Oryzias latipes: one gene and its partners. The main gene of each other region encodes a partner of the protein of the gene in region 6 in a complex. Links are inferred from orthologs where the notes say so. Each region holds a gene or a part of one and is shown on either strand. Other genes may lie near its edges.

What was found.
Region 1: stx18 (region 6) and syntaxin-4 share a complex: the UniProt entries of both Homo sapiens proteins name them as parts of the SNARE complex. The link is inferred for Oryzias latipes from reciprocal best matches to the Homo sapiens genes STX18 and STX4.
Region 2: stx18 (region 6) and vti1b share a complex: the UniProt entries of both Homo sapiens proteins name them as parts of the SNARE complex. The link is inferred for Oryzias latipes from reciprocal best matches to the Homo sapiens genes STX18 and VTI1B.
Region 3: stx18 (region 6) and vamp7 share a complex: the UniProt entries of both Homo sapiens proteins name them as parts of the SNARE complex. The link is inferred for Oryzias latipes from reciprocal best matches to the Homo sapiens genes STX18 and VAMP7.
Region 4: stx18 (region 6) and stx5 share a complex: the UniProt entries of both Homo sapiens proteins name them as parts of the SNARE complex. The link is inferred for Oryzias latipes from reciprocal best matches to the Homo sapiens genes STX18 and STX5.
Region 5: stx18 (region 6) and stx7 share a complex: the UniProt entries of both Homo sapiens proteins name them as parts of the SNARE complex. The link is inferred for Oryzias latipes from reciprocal best matches to the Homo sapiens genes STX18 and STX7.
Region 7: stx18 (region 6) and bet1l share a complex: the UniProt entries of both Homo sapiens proteins name them as parts of the SNARE complex. The link is inferred for Oryzias latipes from reciprocal best matches to the Homo sapiens genes STX18 and BET1L.

The regions. Positions count from the first base shown.
Region 1 is NC_019877.2:19,255,826-19,259,993, reverse strand, and holds the start of syntaxin-4, read left to right. Parts: upstream 1-1,315; 5' UTR 1,316-1,477; coding exon 1,478-1,507; intron 1,508-1,843; coding exon 1,844-1,951; intron 1,952-3,317; coding exon 3,318-3,417; intron 3,418-4,168. UniProt on the Homo sapiens protein: Plasma membrane t-SNARE that mediates docking of transport vesicles. Necessary for the translocation of SLC2A4 from intracellular vesicles to the plasma membrane.
Region 2 is NC_019880.2:1,875,651-1,880,068, forward strand, and holds the start of vti1b (vesicle transport through interaction with t-SNAREs homolog 1B), read left to right. Parts: upstream 1-1,536; 5' UTR 1,537-1,744; coding exon 1,745-1,841; intron 1,842-2,766; exon of another isoform or gene 2,767-2,789; coding exon of another isoform or gene 2,790-2,829; coding exon 2,830-2,888; intron 2,889-3,646; coding exon 3,647-3,844; intron 3,845-3,918; coding exon 3,919-4,092; intron 4,093-4,418. Other genes in the region: retinol dehydrogenase 12, read right to left, coding at 283-497. UniProt on the Homo sapiens protein: V-SNARE that mediates vesicle transport pathways through interactions with t-SNAREs on the target membrane. These interactions are proposed to mediate aspects of the specificity of vesicle trafficking and to promote fusion of the lipid bilayers.
Region 3 is NC_019868.2:26,863,141-26,867,210, reverse strand, and holds the start of vamp7 (vesicle-associated membrane protein 7), read left to right. Parts: upstream 1-1,270; 5' UTR 1,271-1,490; intron 1,491-1,885; 5' UTR 1,886-1,920; coding exon 1,921-2,066; intron 2,067-2,173; coding exon 2,174-2,231; intron 2,232-2,356; coding exon 2,357-2,494; intron 2,495-4,070. Other genes in the region: DNA-directed RNA polymerases I and III subunit RPAC2, read right to left, coding at 769-807. UniProt on the Homo sapiens protein: Involved in the targeting and/or fusion of transport vesicles to their target membrane during transport of proteins from the early endosome to the lysosome. Required for heterotypic fusion of late endosomes with lysosomes and homotypic lysosomal fusion.
Region 4 is NC_019868.2:11,883,746-11,887,982, reverse strand, and holds the start of stx5 (syntaxin-5), read right to left. Parts: upstream 2,882-4,237; 5' UTR 2,863-2,881; intron 1-2,862. UniProt on the Homo sapiens protein: Mediates endoplasmic reticulum to Golgi transport.
Region 5 is NC_019882.2:21,987,195-21,991,486, forward strand, and holds the start of stx7 (syntaxin-7), read left to right. Parts: upstream 1-1,458; 5' UTR 1,459-1,473; coding exon 1,474-1,618; intron 1,619-2,677; coding exon 2,678-2,770; intron 2,771-2,872; coding exon 2,873-2,942; intron 2,943-3,461; coding exon 3,462-3,552; intron 3,553-3,639; coding exon 3,640-3,777; intron 3,778-4,292. UniProt on the Homo sapiens protein: May be involved in protein trafficking from the plasma membrane to the early endosome (EE) as well as in homotypic fusion of endocytic organelles. Mediates the endocytic trafficking from early endosomes to late endosomes and lysosomes.
Region 6 is NC_019863.2:30,760,470-30,764,816, forward strand, and holds the start of stx18 (syntaxin-18), read left to right. Parts: upstream 1-1,522; 5' UTR 1,523-1,538; coding exon 1,539-1,730; intron 1,731-4,347. Other genes in the region: uncharacterized protein LOC101155681, read right to left, coding at 1-154, 696-828, 916-1,204. UniProt on the Homo sapiens protein: Syntaxin that may be involved in targeting and fusion of Golgi-derived retrograde transport vesicles with the ER.
Region 7 is NC_019864.2:3,554,487-3,557,346, forward strand, and holds the end of bet1l (BET1-like protein), read left to right. Parts: intron 1-1,677; coding exon 1,678-1,845; 3' UTR 1,846-2,218; downstream 2,219-2,860. UniProt on the Homo sapiens protein: Vesicle SNARE required for targeting and fusion of retrograde transport vesicles with the Golgi complex. Required for the integrity of the Golgi complex.

The DNA of each region.
Region 1 (4,168 bases), on a different chromosome or scaffold from region 6:
AAAGTAAAGCAATAAGATTTAATATATGTGTTAGAAAAATGTATATACCGGTAAGTTATCTCATATTTGCTTTTATGTATTACCTAGCTCTATAGGTAATATAATCATACATGCAGAAGTGTTTGTGTCCAAGTTCTGTTTCACAGGAAGGTGAAGGTGAAACTCTTGGGAGGAAACCGACTATCTTAGCGTCTTCCCAAGATCAGCATGAGAACTATGTGGTATCTGTGTCAAGACCGGAATCAAAGGACGCTCTGTGTCAGTTATCCGTGAGAAAAGGCTTTGCAGGTCCAAAGATGATGTGGGGAGACTGTGATAAGATGGACATGTTGCAATTAATATTTTCTGATGGCGCTGCAGTTGTGTTCAATCTGTCTTCCACTCCTTAGAGCTCAGCGCATGTGTAATTTAGGGAATTCCCAAAAAACTTAATAAAAGAGGAGGCGACAGAATATGTGAAAGAGTGGAGAGAGATTGTTGCTGGGTATTATCTCTGTTCACTCTTATTTTAACTCTTGTTTTAATTTTTAATTTGACAAAATGTTTGATTCATATTATTTTGTTCATATGTCAAATGAACAACAAAGTATTATGGCCACTATAAAAGCAGAAAAATTAACATTTATATATGAAAAAAGGTGTAAAATACAAAAAGTTTACATTTTAGAAGAACTAAGAAAACAATTACTACAAAAACGTCATGCAATTATCAAAAAGAAATTTTACAATTTTCAAGAATAAAGTCATATGTTTAAACTGTAAAAACTTGCAATTTTCAAAGAGATGTCATGCTTTTTTTCTTAAGTAAAGTGTTAAATTTAGTTTTTAAAAATTTTCAACTATGACAATTAAATGGTTCCTGTTTAAATGATGTTGCAGAGAAATTTGATGAATATCTATCACTTTGATTATGATTTTTTCTTTTTTGTTTTCTTTTTTGTAATTGCACAACTTTAGTTTCATGAAGTTATAACCTTAATTTAAAAAAACATGACTTTTTCCTTTTTAAATAATACATTTTCAACTTTATTTTTGGTAAATGTTGACTTTTTCCCCACAATTTTACGACTTCGTTCTCATATTTATATTATAATTTCATAATCATATTTGCTATTTATTCTTATTGTCAATAGTAATATAAAATAATAGTATATAATCATAAGTAATATAGTAATACTCTGTCAATTCTAATACTCCGTCGTACAAATATAGTATGGTTCTGGCTATTCCAATTGAATTAAACCAAAGCAGGTTTTGTTGCCTGTAGTAAAGGTGTCTGTCACAAGGGGGCGCCATCGATTAAATTCTGTTTGTTTGAACCGCAGAGGAAGAACTGTGAGAACTGTTGCTCTGGAGTTAAACTTGCTGAATGACAGCAGTGGAAAGTCCGCAGCTTTTGTTGCTTGGGAACCGTTGTCCTTCCTCGGCCGCGTGCTCGCAGCGTTTCCGACACCAACTCTGAACATCGACATCAAAAATGCGGGATCGAACAAAAGAGTTAGATAATGTAAGTTTTAAAGTTGGTGTGTTAGCAATAGCGTTAGCTTGCTAACCTAGCTGTATTGATTGTTTAAGTGAACTTTGAAATGCTTCGGTCTCTGATTATTTATTAACTGTAAGCCCGCATATGAGAGCAAAACAATATACCCCCCCCCCCCCCTTATTTTCTACGCTTGGAAGCACTTGTGGCGATATTGCTTTGCTAACGTCCGCTTGAGTTCTTCCTCCAAGGAAGCTGTCAGGCCGGGATAAGGGCAGGGCTCCCGGCTGCAGATCTGAACCGGCACCTTCACACAGCTCTGTTTCATCCTCCTCTTGTGTGTTTCTGTCCACCTCACCGCAGAAAGCCGAGGCCTCAGATGAGGAGAACGAGGAGAAAACGGCTTTGATGAGCAAACCTGGCAGCTCTTCAACAAAGGAAGATAAGGAGAATGAGGCTTTTTTCAAAAAGGTGATCATCCAAGTTTTCGATCTGGGCTCCTCCAAATGATTTGTAGTATTATCAGATACCGGATGTCCTGGGAAATGCTCCTCCAATGGGCCTCTGCTTCATGTTTATGAGACAGAGGACAGAGCTGAAGGTTTAGCTGTAACACACACAATTGTTTTGCCGACATTAAATTCTCCTCTAATCCCAGAACAAAAGGAAAGTAAATAAATATAAAAGGTCAACTATGAAGCTTTAAATATGAGTGAAACATTAACGGACAACAAACACTGGCCTGTATGTAGGGCTGCACTTAACAATATAAATAAAAGACTTTTAGTGGAAAAATGCAGATGTCCATAAAGTTTTGACATTTTAGTTGATTGTAGCCATCTTTAGTGTGTAAGACCTCCACTTATTATTTGATGCTACAGTTTACCAACTGTCCACGAAAGCAGCATTACTTTTACAGTGAGGGGAAAGAAATGCCATGTTTTATTTTGAAAATCTCTGAAAAGAAAGTTTAAATAAAGTGTCATAGAAGCTGCTATAAATTATGATCATGATGTTCAACTTGTTGCAAACTGTAGTTATAATGATCTAGAAGAGAAACATTAAAACAGAAAGAAGTAAAGAGAAGCATTTCCATATATTATCACGGTTTAACTTTTTAGGTTTTTTAAGTTTTGATTGAACTTTAATTGTTTGGAAAAAATAATTTCTATGCTAAGCATTTCCCCCCCCCCAAACAATAAAAGGGCTTTAGCAACAGAAATCCTCTTTTCAGGTTTTTATTTTAGTTTGGCTGAGTGAAAGAGTCAGACGGACACCAACAATAACACACAGTTGTTTATCCAACTGACTTTTTTCTCACATTAGAAAATCTTAGGATACTTTTTGTATCAGTTAAATGAAACATGTTCAAAGGTGTTGGTTTGTAATAATGGTGTTTCTATTTTCTCCAAATTTCTTTATATTTTTAAAATTCAGATGTTTTTCTTTGAGGGAGGCTGGAGTCAGATACCATCAAGATGGCAAAAGTTTCTGAGCATGTCTTTCAATCCAAACCATTTGTGAGGAAATCAAAATAAACTAAGTAAAGAGAGATGAAATCATAAAGTCAAGGCAGTTATGGATTTTATTTAAAGTCAAGGATCCATTATGATCTATAAACCTTGAGAAGATTCTAAAATAAGAGTCAGCAGAGGGATCTTTGTTCTAATATTTCCTTGGATTTCTTTTTTTTTTATACAAACACTGCATTTCCCAACCCATTAATTGAAGTTTTCTGATCAAAAAAGGTCAGGATGTTACAGTTGCAGTTAAAGCTGTTTGTCTGGGAAGATGATTTTGCCTGTTAATCCTAAAACTTTACAAACTTCTTTCTAAGGTGCAAGAAATCCACGAGGGGTTGCAGAACTTAAAGAGGATGGTGTCAGAGCTGGAGAACAAACAGAAGACGGTGCTGGGCGTGGCGCTGCCAGAGGAGAGTACGTCAACTTTATGAATTTGATAAATTCGTGTTGCATTTTGTAACAGAGGATCAGTGTAGTTGCACTTTAGGATTAGAACGACGTTTCTCCAGATTTTTCACAGGGATCCCACCAGAGTAAGGCGGGGCTAGTTGGGGGCGCCTTTCCAATCAGATTTTTAGGCTCAATGAGGGCACCAAATATGTTACAGATTAGTTTTCTCTATTGGATCGCAGTGAACATGTTTTTCTTTGTCGTCTTCTTCCAAAATGCAATTAAGGGAGCTCCTTTCATGAGGGTGTCTGATGCTTCTCTGCTGATCAATCAACTCCTGATTTAGTGATTTTTCTCAGTGGCAGATACTTTAGCACACAAAGGTGGTCAAAAATGAAAGGAATATAATAATAAAAAACAATTTTTTAAAAACATTTTTATGAATATCTCCTTGTACTTTGGTTTGTTTTGGGCCAAACACATGGCAGGAGCCCACAACTTGTTTGTACCGTCCAAAATGTCTCTGCTGGAGCTGTGAAAGAAATAAGAAATACAAACATAAATTCCTCCCTTCTCTCTGTCTTTAAATCCTAACGTTTACTCACAGTATCAAGACAAAAATAAATCATAAAAAAGAGGACAATTATTTTGACATTTTCAACACACCCTTCTTCTTTCTCTTCTCCTTTTTTGTTGTTTCTTTTTTTTTTGTGGTAAATGTGTTGAACTGATGCAGCTAACTTTAGTGGTATTTCGTAGATTTCCACACATCTTA
Region 2 (4,418 bases), on a different chromosome or scaffold from region 6:
TTACGCATATTAATTGGACTCCTCCCACGTGCGGGCACCTGATAGGCCCGAGCAGCTCAGACGGAAGGCGGCCGCCTCATCCCGGTGCTCAAACGTTTTTCTGATTCACTCAAAATTCCGTCACCGTTTAGCGGATTTGAGACAAAACTCACACCGAAATCAAAGCGGCTGACTCAAATAAACACCTCTGGGGTTAAAAAGCAAAGCCAGCCTCCGTGCTGATGACGTCACAGCAGTGCAGGTACCGCGATGGGGGGACAGCGGGTCCCCGCTGCAGCTCACCGTATGTGCGGAGCGAACAGCAGCAGCAGCAGCGTCACCACCCCGATCCCCGCGATGATCACCAAGACCCACATCTGAGCGCTTCCACGGGCCTCTGCCTCCGGCCGGACGTCAGGGATGTGTGGGCAGAGCGGGGCTGAGCAGCTGATGTCAGGGCTGGAGGGGCGCAGCGGCACCGAGAGCGCACGTGCAAAGGATTGTGGGATTGTAGTCATTGTTGTGTTTTGTAGTCCTTTACATTGGAGGTCAAATACAAAAAAAATGTTGTTTTTTAATTTCACGTAGCAGCAGGAAAGATTAGAATGAATGCCAAAAGATATATATACAAACTAAATGTGTTTAAAAAACAGTAAGAAAAATCGTAAAGGATGAGTGAGAAACGGTTCATTATAAAGGAATACAAAACTATAGTTTAATTTAAGAAATGTAATGCCAGAATTCGAAGTAAAACATGGAAAAATGTCAATTATTGTAGATTGAATTTTGTAAAAGAAATTGGAAAAAAAGACAAAAACATATAAACACAACAGCTAAATCTAAATCCTCCCACAGCCTTATATTTTGCAAAAAAAATTTAAATAAATGTATATACATTTATATGATTTATTATCATTTGAACAATTATTATTATTATCACTAGAATCAATTACCATTTAAGTTGCCGTTATCACTTCATAAAACTGAAAGCTGCCTCTGGTTATTTCTGTATAACATTTATTTAGAATATCTATTGCATTATTATACGTTGTCCTCGAACAAAATAAGATAAAACATTCAAATAATATTAACTTTTTAAAAACTAAAAATGCATTTTCAGCACAAAAACTCAATTTGTAGTGAAGGTTTTATTTTATTTTTACAAATATCCTTTTATTTATTAAAATAATAGTAAGTTGAGTAACACATATACCAGTAGGCCTATTTGAATCAGTTGCAAAAATTGAATTATAGAAATCGCATCTAATTTAATTTTAATTGTACACATAAATTTAAATCAAAACATTTTCTTTCTTGTAACTAAAGATTCAATTTAGAACTCTTCTGTTTAACGAAATCAATAAACTACACTTCCCAATTTCCCCTGGAGCCAATGTTAGGTGTCTATTTAACTGCCTGACTAGAAATCTTTACTCTTTTCCCTTTTAAAATTCCGATAAGCAATATTGTGTGATACAGTTCATAAAAAATAAATTTAAAATGGTATCTTTAACACTATTTTAATTTTTAAATGTGTAAAACACAACCGATTATTTCATTCTTTTACGGAATTTTAGTCCTTTTGGTCACGAGGACCATCATGCGGAAGAATCCCGGGTTCTGATGATGAAGGAAGCAAAACAAACAGATTATCTTAACCTTTCCACCTACAAAAAAACCTTTTAAGACTCTTGAATATATCTATATTCAGGAGGAGCAATAATAACTGTATTCAGGAGGAACTATCCGGGTTGATCCCTGAGAAATGTCGTCGGAGGAATTCGAGAAGTTGCAGGAAATCTACAGATCTTTGTACGAGGAGCTGAAGTTAATTCCTGACAGAGCCGCGAAATGTCACGGAGGTAAACGAGGATCATGTTCTTTGTTGCTCATTGTGTTCTTAAAATCTCACTAAAAAACAAAGTGAAAGAGGTTTCATTCAAGATCATTCATAGGTTTCATCCAACAAATCAGTTTATGCAAAGGCTAAAAACAGAAAAACTGTTCTTTCTGTTTTCATTTGAGGAAACGTTGTTGATGCATATTTTTTGGGACTTGCATGGAAAAAACATCTTATTTGGTTTCATTAATTATGATAATAAACATTCGTCTTAATTTGATTTAACGAATCTCCTGATTTTACTAAGTATTTTATTCACAAAACTAAATTTAGCAATAAAGCTCCCAATTGTTTTGATTGATCGACTTAAATTAGATTTTACTAACAATCCATTTCCCCCAATACAAACAAAGAAGCAATTCATACTTGTCATTTTGCTCAGGTTTGTCATTTCATATAACTTTATTTTTGTATATTTATCCCTCTGGTGTTTATAATTGATGTACAAGGTAATGGTCTTTATTATTTACTGTACGTCTCCTGGGTTATGAATGAATAAAACTAACAAAATCTCACTCTGATCATCTTTTGATCTATTTCCAAAGTCGTCTTAAATTATGATCATGTTTTTTTTTATTTAGCCAAGAAGCTGTGTCGTTTTCTAGGACAGCAGTTTGTTAGAAATTTGCGTCAGAGTTGTGGGCGGGACTGTCGGCAGGAGTAAGCCCACCCCCACTTCCCGTCACCCGTCTGTTTACACGCTCTCCTGCTTACAGCCTCTCACACCCTCAACCTGACGTTACAGGTGCAACACATCGCAAATATACGTTTTTCAAACTGCTTTTTTTTCCGTCCGCTCCCGATTCACAACGATTTGAATAAAGAATTACTCAGAAAGGCAGTTATAAGCTACATGTTATACATGTCCCCCATCGTTTTCATGGCAGTGGGTGTTTGAAAGGATGGATGGATGGAAGGAGCCTCTGTAACCTGTGTGCTCTGGTCTGCAGAGGAGAGGAAGAGGCTGGTGAGGAGCTTCGATGAGCGGCAGGGAGAGGCTGAGGAGGTGGTAAGCAGATGTCCTCCTTCCTGACGGCTCACATTCATGGAGTCATTTTGCGGTTAAACACAACAGATGGCACATTCATTATTAAATATTAATTTTTAAAAAAGGCTTTGAAAAAATCAAACTGGGGTTTTTGGTGCTACAGTCAAGAACCAGCGAAGACTTGAAGTCAAAGTTCAAATATTTGGTTGCGTTTCACACACAAAAATAAGAATATTTGATCAAATTTTGTTCATCTCTTCCTGTTGGAGGGAAAACGAGCTTCTAGTTTCACATGAAGTCATTGTGCGTTTATCAGCTGATTAACCTTTAATTTCTTTTTTTCATACTGTTTTTACATTTATTTGAAATGAACAGTGTGATTATGGTTACATGGTTTGCATGCAGCTTTAAGTTTAGTTTTCTATTTTAAATTTCTTTTTGTTCTTTTCATTCATTTGAAATAAAAGAAAAAAATGTTTTATTGTTTTTTCCCCTCTTTTTTATTTTTATTTTTTACAGCAAACAATACCAAAAAAAAGAAAAGCAAAGAACAACAAAACAAACAAATACCCTGCAGATTTTACAATTAAATGTTCAAGTAGAGGTTGACTTGTCTATAGAAATAATCCATTAATGGTTGCCATGTCTCAGGTGTAATTTCTTTTTTAACTGAAGAGTTAATAATTCCATTTTTCTTGAACCTTGTCGGCGTTTCTATAGTCGTTTCAGACGCTAAAATCCATCTTTTTGATCAAATGGACTTGGATTTTCTCTCACAGTTGCAGGGCATGGAGGACGAGCTCCGTGCGGCGCCGGCGTCCTACAGAAACGCCATGAGCACCAAGCTGCGTCTGTACCGCAGAGACATCGGCAAACTGCAGAGGGACATGAAAACCTTTGCTCCCGGCTTCGGCCCCGCCCCCCTGACGTCTCACGGCGACCGCCAGGGCCTCTATTCACCCGAGAACCAGCAGAGTGTGAGTGTGGACCTTCACGCCTCACAGGTGTTCTGGAAACCTCCTGACTTCCTGTTTGTCCCTGGGGGGTGCAGACACACCTGCAGTCGCAGAGGTCGCTGCTGCTTCAGGGGACGGACTACCTGAACAACGCCACGCAGAGCATCGAGCGCAGCCAGCGCATCGCCGTGGAGACGGAGCAGATCGGTACAGACATCATCGAAGAGCTGGGGGGGCAGAGGGAGCAGCTGGACCGAACCAGAGACAGAGTGAGGCCGCCGCCTCCTCCTCCTTTCCTCCTCCTCCTTTCCTCCTCCTCCTTTCCTTCTCCTCCTTTCCTTCTCCTCCTCCTCTTTGTCCTCCTGCTCCTTTCCTCCTCCTCCTTTCCTTCTCCTCCTCCTCTTTGTCCTCCTCTTCTTCCTCCTCCTCGTGTTCCTCCTCCTCCTTTCCTCCTCCTCCTCCTTTCCTCCTTCTCCTTCTCTTCCTCTTCCTCCTCCTCTTCCTCTTCCTCCTCCTCCTCCTCCTCCTCCTCCTCCTTTCCTCCTCCTCCTTTCCTTCTCCTCCTTTCCTTCTCCTCCTCCTCTTTGTCCTCCTC
Region 3 (4,070 bases), on a different chromosome or scaffold from region 6:
GTAGGACTTTGTGGCTCCTGTTGGGTTGTAGTCGGGATTTGTGGCTTTATTTTTGCTGGTGCTGTTCTTTTAGAGGTTTTTACCCTTGTTTTTGAGCTGTCGCTTATTATTATCATCCTTCTGTAGACCACTATAAGTGAATCTTGAAACATTTTAGTGGGTTTGTTGCTGAAAAAAATACAATTGAGAGCCATATTCCTCCTACAACAGTGTTTACATACATTAATTTGTACTCCATGAATATTGTTTCTCTGTTTTAGTGATCTTTGAGACTATGGACGTTTAACTTTTTTATTTTAATATAAATTACAAAAAACAAAAATCAGTTGTTTAGTAGGGACTTGTGGGACTATAATATATATATTTTTAACGTTTAAGTACATTTTAGTTCACAAATCTTAAGTAAACACTGCTTGTTTTAAAATACTGCCCCCTAGTGGGGATAAAAGACATCGCAGGATTTTGACCAAGTAAACAATGACATGTAGTAACACACTAAAATATAAGCTCAGTTTTATCAAATAAAACATGATTTTGGTTTCTTTTTAAGTAATATAAATTAACAAAAAATGTTTATATACGAGTAAAAGGGATTTTCTTATGAACAGACACTTCATCTTCCACGTGAAGTCTGCAGCCGGGCGGTGGAGAAAGCTAGCATTAGCTTCTTCGATGTGTTATTATATATTTCACCTACACAAACTTTAACCAATATACAGTTAAGTATCTAAATAACTGATCAAACAAAACGACATTTTCTTATTTTACCATTTCCAGTTTGGGTTTCTTCTCGCCATCCCCGGCCATGCTTTTCACGTCGCTCGCACTGCAAAGTATGAGCTTTGTGTTTCTTCCCCTTTATTTTTGACTTACAGGCTGAAAATGAAAGTGTCGCCATGCTGTTATTATTCATTAATAACTGAACCCGCTTGGTTGGACATTTATTCCGACTACAACCCTAAGAATAAATGTTTTATTTAGTCTGCCATAAAGAGATATGTCGATTTGAAGTGATGACACAAATAAATTTTGTTAAACATAGACATACAAAACATGCAATTAAGAAAAGATAAACGGATCGAACTTAAATTAGGTTGGTGATGAAGTACTACCTTTCACTGCGCTAAAAAGTAACATTCCTTAACATTTAATTTGCAAATGCATTCAATTTAGCGTGTAATCGTAGCCTTTAAGGCTAAACTGAGGGGAATTCCTAAACAGTTGCTCTTACGCATGAAAACATATGACGAAGACACATCGTCATTTGTAGTTTAGGGAAGTGTAGTTCAGAATGGTAGAAGAGCAGCATTCACTGTGAAAGAAATTGCAAAAAAGAACTACATTACCCAGCGTTGGTCAGTGTGTGCTTCCGGTCCAAAGGATCCGCAAAGCAGAAGTCACTCGAAAGGGATTAGCTAGCTTGCTAGCAGCTGACACATTATAAATGTGGGAAAATAATTAGCTCGTTTGAGTGGCGCTGACACGTTAAGGTATCGTTTTGTTTTGTTTTTTTGCAACAACGTTTAACTTACAAACAAAAACTTGAACTGACACTTTGATTAACATTTTGGTCTTTTCGTTGACGCCACCACTGTTCCGTGTTTATTTCAACATTACTTACTACGCTAGCTTGCTGCCGAATCAGTCTTTGTTTTTCCCAATGATTTATACCACAATAACACGCATAGGGATGTTGGGTGTAATCGTTTTTAGTATTTTTTTGTCTACAATACACAATTTTTTTCCTTTTCTTTCTAACTCATCTTAACGGAATTCCGGTGGGAGGGAGGGAAGGCGGGTGGGGGCATTTTTGTTTTACCTGAGCTCCACCTACCAAAAAACAACAACAACAAAAAGCTTATTCCTTTCCTTGTTTATTTGACAGAAAACTAACGTAGCGGAGAACCCAGCTGTGTTACCATGGCAATCCTGTTTGCTGTGGTGGCTCGTGGAACCACGATTTTGGCCAAACATGCTTGGTGCGGGGGCAACTTCCTGGAAGTCACAGAACAAATTTTAGCCAAAATCCCCTCAGAGAATAACAAACTGACCTACAGCCACGGCAGGTACGGTCCAGTTTGCTCCTTCATCTCAATAATTGTCATTATTTTGCCCACAATCAGGGCTAGTTTCTGGGAACGTGTAACTGATGGTGTTTCTATTTTGTTTTCAGTTACCTCTTTCATTACATCTGCCATGACAGAATCATATACTTGTGCATCACTGATGATGTGAGTATCTTTGGACTTTTTATTTTGTTTTGATGTTCAGCAATAGTTGGGAAGGATGTGACACTGGCACAAAGCTTTAAATACGTGTAGTTGCATTTATCGTGATTGAATGTTTTCTGTTAAAGGACTTTGAAAGATCTCGTGCATTTACCTTTCTTGGCGAAGTCAAGAAGCGCTTCCAGACGACGTATGGCTCCAGAGCTCAAACCGCCCTTCCCTACGCCATGAACAGTGAATTCTCCTCAACGCTGGCGGCTCAGATGGTGGGTTGAGCGTGACAGATTTCCTTAGAATGCCATATGACTTTTTTTAGAAGAAGAAAAAGACTTTTGCTTTAGTCATAACCAGAAAAGCAAACTTCTTCTATTTTTTTTCCTATTTCTTTTGGTTTTAGTTTCGTTTTTCCCCCAGAGTAGTTAAAAACGTCCTTTTTCTTTAAAAAAAACCCTTTTCATGTCAATTTCAGCTTTGTATAGTCAACATATTGACAAATGGGTTTCAACTTCCTTCTCTACAATCGTGGCATGTACAAAAAGATCAGCAGATGGTCACATGACCACTCTGGCATTTTAAGTACGTTTTAAAGTCAACCTTTGTCTGCTGCATTTGAATCTGTATCATTTGAATTATATCTGAACATTTTCCTGACCTGTGCAGCATAGAGATACAATTATCTGTCTTTATTAAGAATTTTCATGGAAGTGCTGTTTTAGGGATGTTTGGTATTTGAGGACAGACAAATATCTGAACCTCTAATGTATTATTAGCAAGGGTTTTCCAGTGTTAGTGTTAAAAAAAACATTGTCCTTTATTTTCCACCAAATATCGAAGTGATATGGTCGAAGGAGTAAAAAGTTTTTTTTTGTTTTTAAAGGAAAAATGAGTGCAGATTTTCAGTGTTCCTGTGGGGTGTAGGTACCATAACCATTCGGCCTGCAATAACCGTTCGGGGTCCTTCGAAGAGTGCTGACGTCACATTATGTGATTGGATGTCTGTTGGTCCGATCACGTGCAGTTTTTAAACTGTTGCAGTGAAATAGAAATGATGTTTTAGGTTGTTTTGCTCTTTGTTCATACACCACAAGTTATATCGTCATCGCAATATCAGATAGTGATTGGTCTGGATAAATTACGATACTAACATAGAAGAAGATATTATGCGGTCCGTTGTAAACATACAGAGCTCCGACACAGAGAAAGATTATCTTCTAAACGTGCTTTTGGTAATATTATGATTAGGCCTGCACAATATATCGCAAATTTATCGTTATCGCAATATCAAGCTGTGCAATATGCATATTGCAAAAGACGGCGAAGATCGCAATAAATGGTTACCTTAAGTATGCTAAAACAATCTGATGGCAGTATTTAACGAAGCAAAAATAATCCCTTTTATGTTTTTGACCAATCGGATGGAGCCCTTTTGTGTTAGATGTTCGTCTCCTATGTAGATGTTGGTCATTTGCAATGCAGTTTTTAAACTGTTGCAGTGAAATAGAAATGATGTTTTTGGTTGTTTTCCTACACCCCAAGTTACATCGTCACCGCAATATTAAGTTTTCCTCATGACATGTAGCCCTAAATATTATTATTATTAACTGCATTGCAGCTGAACAGACTGCGTTCTGAACTCTTCTCCGGACCGCACACTATAACAAAGCAGCTTCCCAGCCTGCGAACACGAAGCTACGAGACTCCAGCTGCTCTGCTCAGAGACACGGTTCACTCGTGTGGAGCAGCAGGTTCATTCTAACAGCCACAGATCTTTTTACAAAGTGGCTTGTGGCAAAATATCTCTGTAAATATTACAGAGAATAATCTCAGACACATCTTATGAGG
Region 4 (4,237 bases), on a different chromosome or scaffold from region 6:
ACGGTACCCATCCCTAGAACCAACCTCCTGGTGAACTCAGATGTTAACCAACTGTTTCTTGATTGAAGTTCCAGTTTAAACATAGTTTTTTTTTTTTTACTTTGCTGTATGTAGCTAAAACAATTTTATTTCTGCAAAGCATTTTTAATTTCCCTTGTTTGCATAAAACGATATGCAAATGAAATTGCCTTGCTTTACATGTGTTGTATAAGGCCTAAGTCATGTTTTTGTGGCATTTTTCTAATGCTGAAGAACATATCAAAAGAAAATTCTGCTTAAAATCGCATTTTTGAGTACTTCTTAATTCAAATGTGAACCAGGAGGTGATGAAAACATACCACTGGAAAAAGCTTGTAGTTGTGCTACAATCAGCAGGCCACAAGCTTCCAGCTCTGGTCCATTCTGATGCGTCCACTTGCAGATAACTATATACAAGTGCGTCTTTGGCTTCCTCAACTGAGCTGACATCTGGCTCTGCAGAAACCATGTTCCAGAAAACAACGTTGGTTTTTTTGGGGGCTAAAAACGGCATAATCATAATTAAAATACCACTGGGAACCCTTTTACAATAGATCAAAAGATGATTGGAGTGGGACTTTAAAAGTGCAGAAAATGTAAACAACACAAAGAACCAAGTTATAAAAACATTCATTATCTTAATGGATCAAAATTATTTTGGTCCTCTCCTTGGTATTCTTCAGACATGACTTGAAGTTCAACACGTGTTCTCAAATACATGTTATGACATGTTTGTGATTTCTATATACTTTTTAGGCCTTTAAAATAGCATTAAAATAAACAATAAAACATATAAATAAAACAATAAAAAATAATAGGGACCCAGTTCACTTTACTTATTTCGAGTTAAGAAAGCATTGAGTTAAGGGACACGTTTCAAACGTTATGTTTATCCATTTCTTTGTAACGGTCCAATAAGTAGTGGGGCCTAAACACAAGCTTTGTTTTTGTATTTTTTCTAAGACGTTTATAAAAAAATAGGTGTCATATTTATTACTAATACGTTGGTGGTGCTGGCGTAGTTGTTGCCATTCTCATCTCACAGGGAGAAGGCTCTGGGTCAAAACCCTGCTGCACCTTTTTGTGTGGAGTGTGCATGTTCTCCTCGTTTATGCGTAGGTTTCTTCTGATTTCTTCCCACAGTTTAAAGTCATGCTTCGTAGGTCAATTGGTGGTTATTAATAGTCCCTTGGGTGTGAACGTTTGTAGTTGTTTGTCTCCGTGTTGCCCTGCTATGGACTGGAAAACTGTCCAGGATGTACTCTACCTTCCCTCCTCAGTGGTTGGGTAGACGATGGCATTGAACAGGAATAAGTGGATTTAGAGACTAATTGGCTATATTTGGTAATTTTAGTAATCTCAGCAATTTCTGAGATGCATCCTGGCAGTAGAATGTGTGTATAAGTTTTACATATTAAATGAAGTTCCAATAAGTATGTCAAGGATGCATTTACAAAAAGTTGTAAATATGACTTCATGTTTTTGTTCTTATGCCCTTTCAAACAAAATGTCTTTCTAATTGGCAAAACACTGATAATGAAATAAAAATAAGAAATATAAAAGCAAACCTCATGTACCAATGACATGAAATTTTATAATTGAAAGACCCATTTTGAATCTTTCCCAGCAAAAAGACAGAACAGACATTTGGACAAGGACAGGATGGGCTGCTTCCTCAGGTGATTCAACACTCAGGTACAGCATGGAAAGAGAAAGATACGATCTTGCTGCTCTCTGATGTTCTCAACCTCCTGCTGGTACCTGCATCCTTTTTCTGACAGGCCCAAGCATGCTCAGACCACAAGTATGCCTCCAGCCCCAGATCCCCAGCCTTCCACCCGTCTGAACCCTGTACCGTCGTACCTTCCCTTATCCGTTCCATCATATGTCACACCTTTCTTTAAACCACTCAGAAAATCTCCCTTTGTGTGCTTTTTGGATTGTTTTATGGTATTAAATAGTATATATGTCAATAATATGTCAGAAAAAATGATTGAGCCTAACTTTTATATCAGTATTCGTCCAATAATTATATAGTAGTCAGTTGTGCTTCACATTAAAGACCCACTCCAATAAAAATCCTGATTTGGGTGTTTTTAACATGTTCTTGTGGCGTTTTTTTGACATCTATGAAGAAAATTAAGATCAAAACTGCATTTCTGAGTGTTTCTTTATTCAAATCGTTATGAATCAGGAGCAGATAAAACAAATGCTGTTGGAAAAAGCTTGAAGCAGTGACATAGGTGCTACAATTGGCAGGCCACAAGCTCTGAGCTCCTCTCTATTCTGATGCATCCACTTGTAGACGACTAGATCTATTTCCGCCTTCATTTTCCTTGTATGAGCTGAGATCTGGCTCAAAACTGTACGGCAGGATAGTTTCGATATTGCTCGCCATTTTTGTTGCATCTGTAATGTTAGGTTGGGGTTCTGAGGGGCTGTAGGCTAGTGGGAGAGAGTGTAAACAAAGGGATGATGTCAGGGCAGGCTTACTTCATGCCAACAGTCCTGCCAAAAGCTCAGAGGTGAATTTTAGTGAACTCCTTGTCATGGGGCCTCTGTCAGCTATCTTCCCCCTCCCCTCTCTGCTTGGCCACTGATTCGTCCCAGCTGCGTTCACTCATCTCATCAACCTGCCAGACCTACTTAAGGAGCGCCAGGACCAGAATTCAACGCTAGTTCGTTGCCCCTGATGGTGCTTGTCTGGTCTCTTTCAAGTTTTCCTGTTACGTATCTTTACCCTCGTCTAAACTCTAGTCTTTCTATGTCCAGGACCTACATATCCCACGAGTGGACGCCAGCTTCAGCTTCAGCCCAAGCGGAGTTATCCCCGGAGTTACCTACCTCCTCTCAACGCTCCATACATCAGGCCTCAGCTCTGGCCTCAGCCGAACCTCCAGCCACGTCAAGATCCACCCTCTCATCTGGAGTTGCCGTTCCTGCCATTCCCCGCCACAACAGGACAAATTCATCCGCTGGAAAAATTAAATCTATTATTTACCTTCACTCACCTCCTGTCTTCCTTCTGGGTTTCAGCGTCTGGGTCTGTCTAGCTTTGACAAGTCATGACAGAACGAACAACTAGCCAAAACCCCGACCCAGCTGGCCCGGAAGATTTACAAAATATTGTCTCCCAACAAGGTCGGTTCCTGGAACTCCTCTCCAGTGCGGTCACCCGCGTCACTACAGTCCAAGAGGACACGATCTCTCGCATCAGAGGTATGAACCAAACGCTTTCCGAGCTAACCGAGCGACATGCTAACCCTGCTATAGGAGCTTCTACTCCGTCTTCCGGCAACAATGCAGCTTCCGCTTCCGGTCCTGTCAACTCACCCGAAAACTTCCGGTTACAGCCTGAACCGTTCCTAGGCAACGTAGAAGCCTGTGGCGGGTTCTTACTTCAATGCCAACTCATATTCCAGCAGGCTCCCAGGCATTATCACTCTGATATCAGTAAAATCACCCTTATAATAAATTTTCTCCGGAAGAAAGCTCTTCGGTGGGCTCAAGCCTTTGTTTCTGCTAACCCTATTAGTCACCTTCGCTATGAACACTTCCTAAACGAATTCCGTTTGATTTTTGACCAACCCCGTAAACGGGAAGAAGCCACACGTAAATTACTTAACCTGAAACAACACAACCGGACTGTTAGTGAGCACGTCATTGACTCCGCATTCTGGCGGTCGAAGCAGGCTGGCCAGATCTGGCTTTAAAGGGCATTTTTTATCAATCTTTGAATGAAGAAATTAAAGACCATCTCTGTACTCAGCCTGAAACTAACTCCTTTGAAGAGCTCGTTTCAGCAGCCCTCCGCTCGGACATCCGACTCACCGAGCGACGTCATGATCGCCAACAGACCCCGAAGAAAACCATCAGCGATCCGGCCCCTTCTACCATCACAGCCCAGTCGCCCCTCAGAATGGATTTTCTCGCAAGCTCCAAACCATCTGAGGGACCTATACAGAGATCATTCTAAACTATCTGCAGAAGAACGACAGAGGCGAAAAGAGGAGGGTTCATGTTTTTATTGTGGAGCCCATGGACATTTAGTTTCACAGTGCACTCTGCGTTTAAATTCCCAAAACCCCCCGCTGAGTGACAGGTCACGGGGGGGCAACCTCAGCACTCAGGAAAATCAAAGCTTCCTGTGCATTCCTGTCAGAATATGCTGTAAAACCCAAACTCATGCTTTCAGGGCACTTATAGATTCTGGAGCCGA
Region 5 (4,292 bases), on a different chromosome or scaffold from region 6:
TATTCCAGCTACAGAGCAAGAATGAGTCTGTAATACAACACAGTTGCATGTTGCTGTTGACGAATACAAATATGTCATTGATCTGCCAGTTTGGAAAAAGATAGTGCAAAGATATATATTCTATATGTGGATAAACACCTGCTGCCTCCTACAGACCTGCTGCTGCTTCCACGACGCTTCAGGTTCATGTCCTGCTTCCTCCTATGTCTGTGATCCAGATTTCCACTCCTCTACTGAGTGGAGACGAAGGGTCCAAAGGGGAGAGAACTGCAGGGGACCTCCACCTGAGGAAGACCTCCACCTGAAGAAGACCTCCACCTGAGGAAGGCCTCCACCTGAAGAAGACCTCCACCTGAGGAAGACCTCCTCCTGAAGAAGACCTCAACATGAGGAAGACCTCCACCTGAGGGATACCTCCTCCTGAAGAAGACCTCCACCTGAGGAAGACCTCCACCTGAGGAAAACCTCAACATGAGGAAGACCTCCACCTGAGGAAGACCTCCACCTGAGGAAAACCTCAACATGAGGAAGACCTCCACCTGAAGAAGACCTCAACATGAGGAAAACCTTAACATGAGGAAGACCTCCACCTCTGTCTCCTTTCCCCCCTCCTTCTCAAATATGTGGCCTTCAGACTCTGTCATATTTTTTGAATAAACATCATTTTGCTCCAGCGCGCTGAAACTATGTTTTAGTCCTTTATTGTTAATGTTATGACTTGTTTTTGTGGAGTTGACTCGTTTCCATCCTAAAGGACCGGGGCGCAGCAGAACCCTGAAGCCTTGTCTCCAGTCTTTGGTGGGAGTGTCCCCTGGCCCCTGCGGCTCCTGCGGCTCTTGGCTCCAGCGGGGCCGGGCCGTGCGCGTCATGTGACCGGGGAGTGGCTGCGAGTCAGGAAACGGCGCAGCTCCAAGTCTCAGCGCAGGTAAAGTCCAAACGATCCCAGAAACGAACCGAACCGTTCTAGAGCAGGTTTTGGTCTCGATCCAAAATCCTACCGCGGGTTTCGGAGCGCTTCACTTTCTGAGGACAAACGGCGAGATGTCCCGAACCGGGCTGGGGGCGGGTGGGGGGGCAGTTGTGTAGAGACCGGTAGTTTCATGAGCTAAACGTCACGTTGACGCTTAAAGTTCGGGGTTTTATAAACAGAAACTCCGGGAGAGAGCAGCCGTCACGGAAGGACACAGACCGTGGTGTTCCGAGAAAGTCCTCTGATTTCCGCATTTGCGGCTGCTGGAAAGACTGCAGCCCCACCGACCGACCGCTGCAGGCGGCAGGCTGCCCCGTAACGCACGGCGGAGGGGGTCTTGACGGGGTCCTAAAAACGCGTCATCATAGCAGACGCTGGAGCGCCGCTGGTCCCGGAAACGCGCGTGAGCAACTGCCTGACCCGCGTCAACGCCCCCCCCCCCCCCCCCCAACTGGCCCCCGATCAGAGCAGACTGGGCATGAGCCCACGTTGGTCCAGCATGGATGGGGGTCAGGGGTCAGCTGGGCTGGTGTTTGCTGCAGCAGCTCTTTGGTTCTGACCTTCAGCGTTTCAGAGTTTCAGGATTTGTTCTGAGAGGAAAAGCAACTTTCCTTCTTTGTGTTTTCACTGCCTCCATCACTCAAAGCTGTGAGGAAGTTTCCATCATCTCCATTTGTTATCAAAACGTTGGTTTGACCTCAGACTGTTGATGCTTATGTCAGACAAACGCTGATGATGGTGTAGTTTTCCCTCCTGATCCTGTTGGTACAGAGTAAGCCCACCTTCACTTCCCGTCATCCATAGCTTTAGCGGCACCACAAGAATGCTGCTCAATATTGGAGCTGTCCATGGATCTATTTGTCTGCAGGTGGGGGCATCAGAATGGAGCAGGGCAGGGACACTTTGGCCTGGCCAGAGTATTTTCTACATCACTAGTCTTCATCACAGTCTTTTTTTGTCTGCTCCTGATTGACAACAGTTTTGGGTTTGGGTTTTGCCAGCACCCGTCCTGCTAGTTAAAAACCTACTCCAATGAAAATGGTGTTTGTGGTGTTTTTACATGTTCTTGTAGCATTTTCTAATGATGGAGGACATACATATATATAGAAAATCAAGCTTAAAACTGCATTTCTGAGTATTTCTTTCTTCAAATCGTTGTGAATCAGGAGCAGAAGAAAAAATGCTGTTTGAAAAACCTCTTAGTTGTTACGTAAACTACAATCAGCAGGTCACCAGCTCCCTGCTCTGCTCTATTCTGATCTGTCAGACAAACAGATCCGTGAACGTCTTTGTCTTCCTGGTCTGACCTGGAATCTGGATCAGAACTGGACGGATGATAGATCTGATGTTGATCACCATTTTTGTTGCATCACTAATATTAGCTTGAGGTTGTGAGGGGCTGTAAGCTAGCAGGGGAGAGTTGTAAAAAGATGGATGACGGGAAGGGGGGGTGTTGTGCTTTTCGCCAACAGTCCCGCCCACACCTTAGAGGGGAATTTCTAATGAATTACTCCCAGTCCGCAGAAACTATGTCCTAGAAAACGACAACGTTTTCTGATTTAGTCTAAAAACAGCAGAATCGTAGTGAAAAGACCGCTGGGAACACTTTGACAATAGATCATAAGATGATGGTTGGGGGACTTTAAAGGTTAAACATGCAGTTTGTATGAAAGCAAGACATAAATGTGTCTTTCTGTGTGAACTCAGCTCTCATCATGGCCTACCAGGCTGGGATTCAACGGGAGCCCGCCGCTTTGGTTCAGAACATCAGCTCCAACATCCAGAGGATCACACTACTGAGTAATGCACACACACACACACACACACACACCCACACAGACCTGTGCACATGCTGAACCCCACTGGACCCCCAGCATCCTCACTCATGGATCTGTGTTCCAGCCTCAGAGCTGCAGAGGGCCGTGACCCTGCTGGGGACGGAGCAGGACAGCAGCCAGCTCAGACAGACGCTGTGAGTTCTGACCGCCTGCTTGATCACACATGCAGCCAAATGAGTTCAAACCGACAGCCGGCCTGTCTGTGGACGGTCACCATGCACACACACACATACGTTTCCCTTGTTCCTTCAGTCAGTTCATTTGTAAAGACTCCTGAATGGCAGGAAGCAGACTGTCTTTATTATTTTAGCATCTAATTCATTCATCAAAACAGAAAGATAACTTTAAAAAGATGTTCTAAACACATACATGTTCATATACACACATTGGAGATGCAGGTTGTTACTAAAGTAAGTTCTATTCTTATAACAGTGTTTTACTTGAATGGGATCATTTGTCCCTGTTTTAAAACAGTTCCATTCAGTGGGTTTAAGGTTCAAAAAGTAGTTTTCAACCTTTAGAATAGTTTTTTTTTACTCTGTACTCAGCTAGCTCCTGAAACCCGAGCATTTTCCACGTCAGGAGTAATGGATTTGTAAGATTTCTGTTTCCTCGAGTGAAACGTTTCACAGATGCTTCCCTCTGGTTCTCAGTCAGCAGAAACAGCAGCAGGGGAACCAGCTGGCCAAGGAGACCGACCAGCTGATCAAGGCCTTCACCGCCCTCCCCGTCGGTCCCGATCAGGTACGAGGCCCCTTCGTCCCACGCACCGATCACATCGAACCCGGTCAGGAGTTTGTGGGAATTGATCAGCTGTGTTTGTGTTTTCAGAGGCAGAGGAAGCTGCAGAAGGAGCGTTTGCTCAATGACTTCTCTGCTGCGTTGAACAGTTTCCAGAAGACCCAACGGCAGGCCGCCGACAAGGAGCGGGAGTTCGTGGCCCGAGTCCGAGCTGGCTCCAGGCTGTCGGTTCGTATTCGCCTTCGTCATTTCTGGGAGTGCTGTGAGCGAGAGCTTTCCGTGCACGCTCACCTCATACTCACACGTTCCACAACCAGGACCATCCGGGTTCTTTCTGAACAACACTGCCATGGTTTCCCGGTTTCAGCTGTTCTGGGCCATAATGTACCATCTGCTCAGAGTTTGGCTGAACGTTCAGACGTAGACAGGTTATTCAGATGAAACCCTCCAGCTGAGGAAATGAGAAAAGCTTCTTCCAGTGACAGTGTGTCTGGGTTTATAGGCGTGTTCAGGATGGAGTGGGTGAGTGTGAGCGCTGTGAGGAAATGTTTCAGATGGTCAGGTGAGCAGATGCACCTGTCCCAGCCTGTTCCAGACCCAGCATGAGCCTTCCGCTGGTTGGGGGGCAGATCTCTTTATGTTGATTCATTGATGGTTGTGGTTCTTGCTGGCATTCAAACATCTCCATAAAGTAAGAACAGGCATTGTCCTTGTTGTGGATACGGTCCTCACAGAAACAGGAA
Region 6 (4,347 bases):
GGTGGGAATCTTTGTTGAAGCCGTTTTATAGTCTGGAGTGATGGTTTGATCTGGATCTGGATCTGGATCTGGATCCGGATCTGAAAGTTCTACCTCTATCAGCGCCTGCTTGCTCGTGCTCTCCTCTGTTGTTGAATTTCCATCTTCAGCATAGCTGCAGGATGAAGCAGAAGATATTCAATGATCAATTTAGAGTTAATTCCAAAATTAACACATATAAAAAGAAAATTACACTTCAATTCGAAACTCCAATCCTCTTTTGATCTATTTTCATAGCGTTATTATCTATTAATTATGATTTTGCCGTTTTTAGCCTAAATCAGAAAACGTGTGTCGTTGACTAGGACATAGTTTCTGCAGAGCAGCATGAGTTAATTTGAAATTCCCCTTCCCATCACACCTTTGTTTACACACTCTTTTGCTAGCTTACAGCCCCTCACACCCCCAACCTAACAGTCGTACAGTTTTGAGCCAGATTCCGGCTTGGACGTACATGGATATATTTATCTCCAAGTGGATGCATCTCTCATCTTTCTAAGTAGGAGAACTTGCACAATTGGTGGCTGACTGAATACTTTTTTTTTTTGCCCCACTGTATGTCCTCCATCATGAAAAAAATACCACAAGAACATGTAAAAAACTCGCACAAACATGATTTTCATCCTTAAAGAAATAGGGGGGGGAAAAAGTGTTGCCTGTTTTCTGGATTTTCCGCTGGATCTGCGTCACGAAGTTTCTTCTGTTCCTGCATCTTCTTCTCCGAGATGTTCAACACAGAAATAACTATCTGTGTCACGGCACTAAGTTTCTCAAATAACATCTCTTCTTCTGCAACATTAAAAAAACAAAAGTTTGCTATTAGTCAGAAATGCACAATGTTACTAAACTTAAAAAAGAAAATGCATGTTTCCTGACCTTTGTTACTCTGTCGTTTTATCTCCTCCCTTGCCTTCGCAAGGAGGTTTTCCCACTTTTTGTTGCAGTCGGAAACTGTGCGCTGGACCTGTGGAAAAGCATCATTAATAGCTTGGACTATCTCCTTCCAGGCATGCCTCTTGTCTTGAACCGATACTCCGGTGCTTTGCTTTCCTCTGACTATGTTCTGCTTTTTCTGTATTAACTGAGCCAGAAGAAGGCATTCCGGGTCAGTCCAGTTGGGTCTTCTCTTTCTGCTGGTGGAGCCCTTCACTGGCTGTGGAGGCATTTGTCTGCGAGGAAAACACATAAAACAACCATTAATAGAACGTATTAAACAAAATAGAAACTCATGAAAACCCTTAGATTTTTCTCAAAATGATATTCCCCTTAACGCTTCTAAAACCCTATAATTTCAGATTAGTCCTTTTCTGTTATTGTTTTTCCATTATATACAACCTAATTCAAAGTGAAACAGTCAAATGTTGAGTTTTGGTTAAGTTCCGTGTTGATTTAATGGGAAATCAAATCCTAATCGGTGCAAACCTGTTTAAGGCTTTTCCTTTTTCCCCTTTGAGGGAAAAATCCGCTGCGGCGTCTCATGTTGATGACGTCACCGGTCGATGACGTGTCGCCTTGTTGACAGCGGCGCGTGCACAGAAATGGCTGTGGACATCACTCTGCTTTTTAAAGCCAGCGTGAAGACAGTGAAGACCAGAAACAAGGCGATAGGGATCGGGTTCGACTCGACGAAAGATGAGATTTTCAAAAGAAGCAGAACGAAGAGCGGCTTCACCCAGAGAGCGAAAGAAGTGGTGAGTGCTCCTCTTAGCTAGCGATAGCATGATGATGATGATGATGATGCTAGCTCATTTGAAACGATAAAACTTCTCTACAAACATTGCCTTTTATATGACAAATGTACACACCACTACTTTTTCTTTTAAAAACGTATAAGTACAACCATTGTTGGCTGTTTTTAAGTCGTTTAGTACCCCAACTGTTTAATTTTAAAAAAGTTGCTGCTTTTAAATTAATACCTCATAAAAAACATAAACTTGACCTAATTTTTTTTAATCTACAGACTTTGCTGTGCAATTACTGGAAATGTGAGCATTAATGAATGTAGCACTAGTTTTTCCCTAAAAGACTACACGTTTTTTAGATGAACGTAGTTGAAAAAAAAATCTTGAGCGATTGATTGATGTTATTAACAGACTAACTACCCTGTAAAAAATACTATAGCTAAGATACAGATTTCATATAAAATAATATTAATTTGAAATCTTCATCAATTATATACATGTAATTAATTTTAAATACATATCTGTGTACCTGTATGCCTGTTATGATGATTGATAAAAGTGGAAAATCTAATGTTTCAGAGGACGATTAGTCATTTTGTTGCATTCAAATAACAAATAAATGTTTACATTTGTTTCCTTATGGGAGCTTGAAATCATTAACACCTGCAACAATAAAATAATTTCCTGCAATGAACGCACCAACACAGTGTTTGTGTCCGAATTCCCACCCTAACCCCTAACTACTGCAAAACTATATAGTGACCTGAATTTTCAAAGCAATTCGGTCACCATGCTCACTACTGGAAATTCAACTGGTTAAACAATTTTACACTTAATCGCAGTCCTGCAACCAATCTGAGACTCGGATTTAGTAGTGACATGAGGGTGGCGTCCGCCACGGAAGTACCAACCGTTGTAAACATGATTTCGAAGGAGACAATAATATTTGCGGTTTGTGTTCGGACTCCAAGACGGACATTTACAGGAACAAAGCTGTGAAAACAAAACGTCTGGAGCAAGATTTGCGGGATTTTCACAGCTTTCACTTTGCACACTGAGCCTCTTCCTATTACAGGTGGTAGACAACAGTAAATACGCAGAAGAAGAAGAAGAATCTTCTCCCTTTCGCTACCTGCATGTCTGCTGCTTTTCCCATGTGGACAGTTAACAGTCGACATCGTTGAATATCAAGCTTGTCTACTTCAGCTTTAAAAGAGTCATAAAAAAGAGCTAATTTTGACTTTCCCTTACGAAAAAATCTGAGACGGAATTTATTAAAAATTATTTTCTCAATGCATTCATTCATCTTCTAATCTGTTTGATCCCTTTCGGGGTCACGGGGCTGCCAGAGCCTATCCCGGCGTCTTGCGGCCGAAGGCAGAGGACACCCTGGACAGGTCGCCAGTCTGTCACAGGGCCTCAACCACTCACCCATGCACACGCACGTTCACACCTATGGACAATTTGGAGGGACCAATTAAGCATGTTTTTAGATGGCGGGAGGAAGCCAGAGTCCCCGGAGAAAACCCACACATGCACGGGGAGAACATGCAAACTCTACACAGAAAGGTCCCCCATTGGTGTTCTGTTTCTGGTCCCCCAGCCGGGACTTGAACCAGGACTTCTTGCTGTGAGGCAAGAGCGCTATTATTTTCTTAAAGCAAATAAATAAAATATCATAAATTTCAGAAGGCCTGAGCAGCTGCGGCTGCTCTCTCATCTGCCCCCCCGTCAGCCTCCTGGGGGTCGGTGCAGTGGGTGGGGTCACTTCAGCCCCATGGGCCCTGCAACAGACTGGCAACCTGTCCAGGGTGTGCCTCACCTTAGCCCAACAATAACCAGAATGTGCTCTGGCAACCCTGCAGCCCCAAAAGCGATGTAGCGTGATAAGCAAATGGATGGTAGATCAGGACAAGGCCGCTTGGACCGATCCTCCACAGTGGATTTTTACTCCACCCCTTAACACATCAAATGGGTGAAGTGACACCTCAACCTCGCCAAAAGTCAGATTTTTTTTTTTACTCTGGATGCGCCACAACACCCAAATCGTGCTGCGACACTCAAAACGCACTGCTGCCGGTCTGCCTCGCTGCGCCTGACGCTACAATCACGCTGCCGGACCTCAGATCAAGTCTGTACATTGGCTTAACATTGTATGTCGCCCCCATTATAATTGCGTTCGGTGTGATAACCATCTTCAGAGTTATGGGTCTTTGAATCCAAATTCTGGATGTTCTAGACTTGGTGTAGGTCAGTAAAGAACACAGAAGGCGGAGGAAGTTGACAGCATGCTGAACATAAACTTTTCTCCAAATTTCCAGCTATAGATTAATATTCCGATAAAGACTAGTTTTTGGTGAAGAGTTTAGAAGACATCAGTGTGCACCCGTTTTTCACAGGGCAACACGGCCTTTGCTCTGCCCCAGCAGTTATTTATCTGACTTAAGCAGATGTCTTCAAATAAAACCTTGAAGAACCACTTTCACATTTCCCACGGGGGAGTAAAATCTTAAATGTCACCAACCATCAGCCTGAAGACGACATGAGAAGATCTGCACCAGCCACGTTTTGGTCGTGTACTTTTGTAGCGGCATTAAATACGGCGGTTTAATAAAAGCTCTGCTGC
Region 7 (2,860 bases), on a different chromosome or scaffold from region 6:
TAGCACAAGGGTTACGTTAACAGTCTCAATACGGATTGTAAAGTGCAGCACGTCCGTCTTTCTCTTGTTGCTTTGACCCGTCCTCGTAGTTCCTGGCCAATGACTGAAGAGATCTTTAGTCACATGGTTTTGTTTACAAGCTTTGGTCTGGAACAGAATGGTCTGCTTGATGAAAGTTTGAATACAGACCAAACACAAGGTTTGGGACTCGATCCGGAACAAAGAATTTTTTAAGTCTGAATACACCCTAAAGAAAGTTAGGTTTAGCCTCGTATAGAAAATGTCTACATCCTTTACGGCATGGAAAAGCTCTTTCTGGTTCCATTTAACATCCAAATCCACCTTATTCTACCATACAAACAAAACTGGCGGAAGATGGTAGCAGATGCGTTTCAGCCGGAGTTACTCTAAACCAAACGACTACCCAACCCAAATCTAAAGGCCCGTACACACCGGGACGAATTTCGCCCGCGATATTCGCCGACGTTTAACGCCTCGTGATTAAACAAAGGGCACCAATGTGAGTGTGCACACCGACGCGAAAAAACGCCACGCGTCAAAGCGTCATGTTTTAAAAAAACGCCTCGGGTTCTTTTTTTTGTACGGGCCTCGCCGCGCGTCAAACTATTCGACCAATGAGAATGGCGCTTTTGCACACGTGTCTGGAGCTTCTGAAATTACAGTAAAACACAACTTGGGGGCGCTCAAACACAAAACTGCCTTGCTGAGCACACATACCAGCGAAGAAGATAGACGCCAAGTAGCGTCTACACTGCCGCGAAGAAATAATGACGGACATTCTAAAATATCCCCGAACCAAGCACCAGTTGGAGCAACTGGTGCTTGAAATATTCATGTTTTCTTTGTATGATTCTGAAAAACGCGTAAATACTTGCTCTCTTCTTCTGAGTGAAAAGCGACTTTAAGAAGCGTAAAGTTGCGCAGCGCCACCTTGTGTACAGGAGTATTTCTGTTTACATTAAGCGCCATTTAATGTCAGGGAATGAAATTGCATGTTCGCTCGGCTCATCGTCAGCGAAAATCGCCTGGGTGTGAACACAAAAGACGTGGCGAAAGACGCTGGCGAATAACGCCTGGCGAATATTCGTCCCGGTGTGTACGGCCCTTAAGACTGAAACGACTTCTGTCCCAGGGATGTGGTTTGGATATAAGACTGACTGGGACCAGACGACGGGGTTTTGTAAATATTGTGACTCCCTTCCAACACAACAAACCTATTTAATCAGCAACGATAGAACTACGACAAAAAACACAGTGTATGAGCTAGAGCCGCAGCATAGAGTGATGACATAAGCACTCAAAAAGGTTCAGACACCGTTACAGTGTGCACTCGTACACGTTAAATATTCTAATAGCATAAGTTAAAGATCTTGATTGAAAACAGGTTCTAAATAAAATAAAGATTAAGTTCCAACTAACTTTGTTTAATACTGCATAACTGTCAAACTGCACTTTACTGCACAACTTTATTTAAACTATTTGTTTATTGAATTTACAGACAAAATCGGATTTTGCAGAATATTGATACTGGGATATAAAACGAGACATTTTGGTCATATTTCCTAACCCTACTTCTGAAATGGTTTAGCTGGTCACCAAATAATTAAGATTCAAAGACTTCCAGCAACAACAACTAACTTCTTCTCCCTCTTTCAGGACTCAAATATGATGAGTGCAACAGGGCTGCTGACCGGAAGCGTGAAGCGTTTCTCCACAATGGTTCGATCCGGCAGAGACAACCGCCGCCTCCTCTGCTACGTTTCCTTGGGGCTGGTTCTCATCTTCTTCATGCTCTACTACCTGGTTTCCAGGATCCAGCGGTGATTTCAGAAAAACCTTCTCAGCCAGAGACCTACGGATGATGTGAAGCTGAATCTATAGAGTATAGATCCAAGTTTACATGCAAGGAAGAGGAGTTTTCTTCGAATCCCCAATGGAAGGAACGCCAGACTGATAATCAGAGAGGTGTAGAGAACTCCACTGATGTTGTGGAAACAAAAACCTTACCTTCACTAAAACCCTTCTTGTTCCAACTTGGGGACACCTCACAAGAAAAGATCAGCTCTGCAGCACAGGGGAAGTCAAAGTTTCTGAGCCAAACAAAAAATTATAAATTGGCATCACATGTCAATGATGCTGACAGTTACATACAAGTGACCCCAGACTATGTCTCCATTAAAAATCTACAACAACTGAAGCACTTTATTATTATTAGTTAAAGATTACGCATGATATCACTGCAGAGAAGGAAAGTCCAGAATAGTGAAAAAGGTATCAGCTGTTTTTTTATTGTCCTAAATTCCTTTGGAAATATTTGTTTTTCTCTCTCTCTGTTCTTCTTGCACACATTTATTTTTATCAGTTTTTGTCAAACGAGTTGAAGTCCCACTCCGATCACCTTTTGGTCTATTGTAAAGGTGTTACCCGTGGTCTTTTATGATGATGCGGTTTTCAGCCAAAATCAAAAAGCCTGTGTCATTTTCAAGGACATAGTTTCTGCAGAGCGCCAGGAGTTCATCAGAAATCAACCTCTGAGTCGTGGGCGGGGCTGTTGGCGCACACACTCCCGTTCTAACATTACTGGTGCAACAAAAAATGGCGAGCAATATTGCAGCTATCCAGCTGTACAGTTTGCATCCAGAAAACAAAAGTTCATGGATGTATTTGTCTGACAGTGGATGAATCTGAATGGAGAGCTGCTCAGTGGATTTTTTACATATTAAATACAATCTTTTCCAGCTGATTGTTTTGATCTGATTCCCAATGATTTGAGTAAAGGAAATACTCGATTTTAATCTTAATTTTCCTCATGTTTCCTGTATAAAATGCCACAAGAGCA